Saccharomyces cerevisiae S288C: one gene and its partner. Changing the gene in region 2 together with the main gene of any one other region gives a genetic interaction. Each region holds a gene or a part of one and is shown on either strand. Other genes may lie near its edges.

Region 1 (3,414 bases), on a different chromosome or scaffold from region 2:
TTGAACGCTTCATCCGAAAACAAAGAATTGTATGTACAAGCCACGCACTTTAATAACACAATTCTATTGCAAATCAGACTAAATGGGGAAATGGATTCCACCTATGAGGTATCTTCAAAAGGACTAAACCCAATTCTCGATATCAACGTACCACTGGCAGGAAACCTAGGAAACACGGGTGGCGATTATGACGATGAGGAAGAAGAATTTGTAAGAGACCATTTATCTGATTATCAAGTGGTTACCAAGTTGGGAGATAGTGCCGATCCTAAAGTACCCGTGGTATGCGTACAGATTGCCGAACTATATAGGAGAGTTATTCTACCAGAAGTGAGCGGTACGATGGCCCAAGACAACATGCAATTCAGCTTGCTGATATCCATGAGCAGTAAGATATGGAGAGCAACGAAGGAACAAAGCGCTGACGATAATGATTTTGGCAAATTAGTTTTTGTGTTAAAGTGTATCAAAGATATGTATGCAAAGTGATTCTATATAAATTAGTTATGCGTTGTATTATCTATGACTGCCATATCCAAGACTTGCACAGTTCCCTTTTTATCACATAGGGTCATCAAATCTCTATAATTGACAGGATCGATAAGACCTGTACATGTCCAAGGATCCAATTCCGGCTTCGTTGACTCTCCAGGCGATGAAGCTATCAATTTACTAATCTTCTCAATAAGTTCGGGTTGTCTAGATGGCTCACTTATGGCCACTTTGACTTTCATCTTCGCCCTTACTATTGGAATAATTTGCTTAGAAACCAATAATTTGATAGCCTCTAAAGCTTGCAATTTGGCAGGTTTGTTAATAACAGGGCTGAACTTCAGTTCCTGTAAAGCTTTGTGGATCATTGTGGGCGGATATCTTTTCTTTGACACAGGATTTATACATTTAGCGCTAACTATTGTAAGCATTTCGTTATTAACTTTATTAAGCATTAATTGTCTTTCTTTTTCCGATAATTGAATCTCTCCCTTATGCATGATCTCCTCGATGACATCATCAACATTTGTAGTCCCGAAACACTTTTGTAGATCTTCCTTATTAGCAACCAAGCCTTTCGAAACATTCATGAAAACTTGATGTATCTGCAGCACTTCATCCAGATCTTTTTCAATTCCTTTTCGATAGTCTTGGACCTTATTTTGGTAGCACGCGACTTCAAATCTCTTGCGAGCCTTTTTTAATCTCACTAATGAAACATTAGTTAACTTAATCTGTCCCGACGGTTGATTGATAGGCATTGCGTGTTTTACCTTTTCTTTCTCAGAACTATTTTAGTAAAAATTTTAAAAACTTTTACTACTGCATGAAATCACTTAAGTTCGGCCTAGAAAAATTTTTTCATGAACATTATTATATATACAAGGCACTGAGCAGAACAATACACGCTAAGTTTTGTTCTTTCATGAGGTCATAATAAGTTAAATAACAGTCAATACATAAATGCAAAACTAAAAGTACACAGTTTTATTATTTTCTTTTCGTCGTAATGTAGTTTTTATAATCAGTCAACTTTTTTTTTGCTTTTAGATTTCGTTTGTTCCTTTTGTCTTTGGATCCAAAGTTTCTTGAAAATGTAGCCAAAACAATGCCAGCAGGAATATCGAAAAAGATGGGTATAATATAAGTAAAAAAAAAATTTTAACAATGAAATAATACAGGAGAATTCGTGGTTTACAATTTCTGGTTTTTTTCGAAATTGCTATGTGGCTTCTCCAACAATGTAATTGTAGGCTTTTCTTTCTTTTAAGTCCGTTTATCGTATACAGAAAAAGTGCAGGATGTTGTAAGTAAAGGTAGTCAGTCATACCATCATGACAAAATCCACCTCTTGGCAAACATATCTAAAATAGCTCTATAATGGCCGATGACACCCAACACTACGAAGAAATGCCAAAAAGTGTGCGAACAACCAAAATAGTCAACCCACCATAGAGATTTAAATGATTTGGCATGAGACGGACAGGAACTGCATTTGGAATGGGCTGTTGGCACCTCTCTAAAATGAATTTCCCTTTGCTTTGTGATGATTTCTAAATCAGTAGATAATTCGTAGTTTGTTGGAATGGTCTTATCAACCTGAACGTCAGATCTGAACCGTTCAGGAATGAACGAACCGTAAAATACCACACCAACCAAATACCAAACAACAGATTTGTATGTGACGGGGCTAAATAGCGTTGCAGCATAATGAAGATCAGTCAAAAATATCAAATGTAAAAACGACAATACACCCATAGTAGCCAGCAAAATGAAGAATCTAATTCTTAATGGCCTTGCTTCAGGTCTATCAAAGCGAGGCGACCAATTCATAAACACACCAAATACACCCAGCGCCAGAGAAATACTCATGTAAGTGTACATCGCCCAGTAACATGAATACATGGTAACAAACTCCGTTGTCAATATCGAAGCTGTAATTAAGATCGTAATACCGCTATAGTCGACACACGCAAATTTAGAACGTAGCTTCAAGAAGGACGTTCCGTTGAAAGTATGCCAAAACACGGAGCTTAGCATACATTTCAACGCAGCTGCCAAAAACATGAAAACAATCCATCTAGCCTGTGGTGGAACCTGGGAATTCCGCCAAACTTCAGACTGAGGGAAATCGTAAATTGCCAAGTAGATTATATAAATGGCTCCTAACAAATGAGACCAAATATTTGAAGTTTCATTATGCCAGCCGTACCAGTTAAAGATAGACAACAAAGATTTGGAATGGGTATTGTAAAACCTATAGCCATGGATTATGTATCTGTTTTCCCTCCATGGGAATGGCAACTGATAATAATGTAAATGTTGAGTTTCACCTAGACTATACGCTTTGCCATGGTTGTATGAGTTTATAAAAGACTTGATATCGGTAGTAGGATTCAAAGGTTCTTCAATGAGGATTTCCGTCTTTACCATGGATTTTCTCATTGGACCGCAATAGTCTTTCACGCTGGAAATATAATTGTTTTCCTCTTTGATTTTTGTATCATTGAGACGACTTGTTGGGGAACGTAACGAGGACTTCGCTTGAGAACATACAGTTGAAGATGAAGACACCAGTGAAGTGGATGTAGAAGCATTGTTAAGCTTGAAAGTAGCGACTGAATTCACCAAAGTGGCTGCATCTGAATCTCCCAGTGAAAACTGAGATTCTGTATTCAGAGACTTGCCACTGTTTCTTTTGTACACAGAACTTGTTACTTCCTTTTCTTTTGTTGGACGAATTATCTCCAAATCATCATACCGCCCACTTTCAGAGTGTTTAACACTTTCATCAATAGTTGAAAATGGATGAGGAACGAATTTTGAGTAGTTGTAATTATAGATGGATTTACCGGATTTTTTCACCTTCTGAAAATTGTCCACACCCTTCTGCTTTAGCCTTGATAGAGATCCCATGGGTGA
Region 2 (3,761 bases):
AGAGAGGGAAATGTCGAAAATACCCGAAACGCATTTCACAATTACAAAAAGGCCAAAAAAAAAAAGGAAAGACAATACGCTTATATTTGTCACGTATACCTACTATTTGATTTATGTACGTTTTATATACAAATTGCATTTACTATTTATAAAATAAATCATTAACTATAATACTCTAACTGAATGTTTTAGGATCTTCTCTATTAAAAATATACGTGGAAAACGACTATGGCTGCCCGAGAGACTAAAAAGGAAAGAGCGAGGGATATAACAATAGCAGTCATTACTGGTGATAATAATGACATAAAAGAATTACTGAAGGAGGCAAAGTATATACTGTCAAGGGTATAATGGTGAAAGTAACTGCAGCTTGTATCATAATTGGTGATGAAGTGCTGAATGGAAAAGTAGTTGATACAAATTCCACTTTTTTTGCGAAGTATTGCTTTGATCATGGAATTCAATTAAAAGAAATTGCAACTATAGGGGATGATGAAACCCAGATCGTAGATACTGTGAGAAGATTAGTCAAAAATTATGATTTTATCATCAGTACAGGTGGAATCGGCCCCACTCATGACGACATCACTTACGAATGTATGGCGAAAAGCTTTAATTTGCCTTGTGAACTAGATGAAGAATGCAAAGAACGAATGAGGCATAAATCTGACCCTGAAGCAAGGCTTGATGCAGATGCTCTAAAGGCGCATTACCAAATGGCAACCATGCCAAAAGGCACAAACGTCAAAAATTATTATGTGTGTGATGACTTGTGGGTACCTATTTGTTCTATATCTCACAAAATGTATATACTACCCGGTATCCCTCAACTATTTGCAAGGATGCTGAAAGCGTTCACTCCCACGTTGAAAAAAATATATAATTTGGACAAGGATCCACGTGAGTATGTTCGTTATTTTGTCAGAACACACCTAACTGAGTCTCAAATTTCTAAAGAGCTAAAGTTGATTCAGGATGAATCAACAAAAGTTTCAGAAGCCATTAAAATAGGCTCATACCCACATTTTGGTATGGGATTCAATACAGTTAGTATTTTGGGTGAAAAGAAAGACGATTCATATCTGAAGAGTATTGTCAATAGAGTTGTTAATAACCTCGAGGGAGAAGTAATTTCTTCTGAACTTGAAAACAAGTTCTCGAACCAGGAGAGCTGAATACCCGAGTATTTAGAACTATGTATAGATATAGATTTTTTTTTTGGGAGCAAAGTCATCTCAGTCATCGCCGGTAGTTGCGCTTTCTTCTCAACAAAAAAGTACACTGCTCGTGGTAGAAAGGTACCTTGAAAAATTAAAGATCACATTGCTACTGTTAGAGCTTCAATCGCTAAAGTAAACATTTGAAAAATGCATATCCGAAAGGACCAAACCAGCAAAAGGTATATAATTCATTCAATAGATACAACTGCTCCATGAAAGGAAAAACCTTCATTTACGGTCGCGTTTTTTTTCGTGATATAAAAAAGGTAAAAAAAACGCGTCGCGTTAGAAAAAAGGTGTGTGTGAAGAGAAAGACCCATTGAATGGAGAGTTCGGTTCTTGGGAATTGCACTGAGCCGTGGTGAGTTTGTTGCTTTACTACATCTCTTCTTTTATAAGCAACGCTTAAGCTGAACCTAGTCAACACACATAACTGAAGTCAATTTGACCAGGTGCAACTGAAACCTGGATTGGAATTGGTATTCACTTGAACAAAAGACTCTGGTAAAATGTCTGAACTCTCTCAAATGACATTGAAGATCCTTTACACATTGGATAATGGATCCAATGGTAGTTATTTAGCCCGCTCAAGGGCTCCAAAACAGGTAAGAGTTGCTAATATTCCTAGTCCATTCCCGACAGATTCGAATGAGCAAACGGAGTTGCGAATTGGCGCCATCCATTTGAAGACTATACTGCATGAAATATACTTAAATTCACCTGAAGTGTTAGACCATGACACTTTAAAAGATGGATATGATTATAACTTGTATTATCGTGACATATGTGAAGTGGATGAGCCATTAGTAAGCCTTGGTCTTCTTTCCGGGCTTCGAAAAAAGTTTCATAAGAATAGCCCCTACCAGTATACAGAAAACAATATTGGTGAAGAAGAAAGTGAAGAGAGAGATGAGGTAACTGAAGAAGAGTATGAAGATGAATCTTTTATAGTTACTGGAAGGGTATGCTCGAATGTTTCCGCTTTACTACGAAGATCATATAGCAACATCTCGAATAAAAAGGGAAGGGTCGTAAACAACCAAATTCCGGAAGAAACTTTGGAGGTTAAACTAAGATTCACAAAAGTTATAACCAATTTAAGGACGTCTGGTAACAATACTACAAATTCTCGGATATCGTGTCTTCAAATGCCGTCTTCTTTACCATCAGCAACACTTCCGTTTACCCCAAAATCGCAATCTCTTTTCAAGACAAACCAAATAAAAAATTCAAGGAATGCAAGGACCACGATAACAATAAATAATACTAATAGCGGGACTGTGGGAAGAAGACAGACGAATCCTATGCCTGCTCCAAAAGCTGTCAGAACTCAGTCTTTACCCATCTGGAATCTTAAACCAAATATAGCGAATACTGGTTTCCCAAGAAATTCAATTGCGCACAAAATCTACTTAGCAGATAGAAAAACAGAAGCCAATCAACAAAACAACCAGCATCAAAACATAGCTTACGAAATAAATACTTTGCAAAACGATAATACTATTCAGAGGACCAAGATCGATGATTCGGTAAGCAAGAGGTTCGATTTTATGCTCAACAAAAGAAAGTCTACGAAAAAAGTGTCACCTGGTATAGCAACGATAGCAAAAAAACCAGCTTCAATAAACATAAATCCAAAGCAACCGCCGAAGACTAGTGGTGAAAAAAAAGCAAATGATAAGCAAACGATTGTCAAAGTTAAGAATTCGAATTCCAAAAATTCGGCTAAGTCTACACAAGCAGGATGTAGGCGATCATCAGTGATAGAACATTTAAATGATCATGACGATTCAATTTTAAGTGACATTCTATCGGAACCAGGCATTGAAGGGCAGAAATTGCAGCAAAAACAAAAGGGGCGTAAGATATCTTTAACTAGTGAAAATGATAAAGAAAATATTCCACCCCAAAGCATAACTAGTAAAGAGAACAAGCTTGAAGGTGACTTGGATTTTAACGCTGAGTTCCCCATGAGTGACTTTTCGGATGTAGTATTTAAAGATGAGATGGGATGGTTTTCCAATTTCAATTGCAATTTTTTTGAATCACCAACTTCTGCAAGTGCATCACAACTCAATCAGCAAAATTTGAAGCCTTCTATAACACTCAACGATCCAAACACCTGTAACACCATTGCTCTCGAAAATGAAGATGTCAGTGAATTGGAAACAGCGCAAAATAATAAAATATCTTTGCCTAGCGATGTTGACAAAACCTCCCCAATAGACTCGTTGTCTATACCTTTAATTGAACTTACACATTCAAGCTCGACAACAAACATGCAGCGTATATCCATTAAAGAAGGATCGACACTAAATATAACAGATAGTAATAATGCCACCCCATGTGATAATGATATAAAAGATAGAAAGGCATCTGTAATAGATTCGGACAATACAAAACCTCAGGCAGGGCTTATAAATTTCTCTACTCCAGCTGACCAGCCAGCTTCTGATAATAATGTTACAGCTTCGAAAAAGCTTACTAGCATGCTGGAAACTCAGCAAAGTAAGAGATCTCATGAAGAAGTTTTGGATGAAG

What was found.
Region 1: mutations in SPT21 (region 2) and SDO1 impair growth when combined (synthetic growth defect), as found in Saccharomyces cerevisiae (one study listed by BioGRID).

The regions. Positions count from the first base shown.
Region 1 is NC_001144.5:183,674-187,087, forward strand, and holds SDO1 (guanine nucleotide exchange factor SDO1), read right to left. Parts: upstream 1,254-3,414; coding exon 501-1,253; downstream 1-500. Other genes in the region: IRC25 (Irc25p), read left to right, coding at 1-489; IZH3 (Izh3p), read right to left, coding at 1,825-3,414. UniProt on the Saccharomyces cerevisiae protein: Involved in the biogenesis of the 60S ribosomal subunit and translational activation of ribosomes.
Region 2 is NC_001145.3:618,129-621,889, forward strand, and holds the start of SPT21 (Spt21p), read left to right. Parts: upstream 1-1,729; coding exon 1,730-3,761. Other genes in the region: FPY1 (flavin adenine dinucleotide pyrophosphatase), read left to right, coding at 351-1,175. UniProt on the Saccharomyces cerevisiae protein: Required for normal transcription at a number of loci in yeast.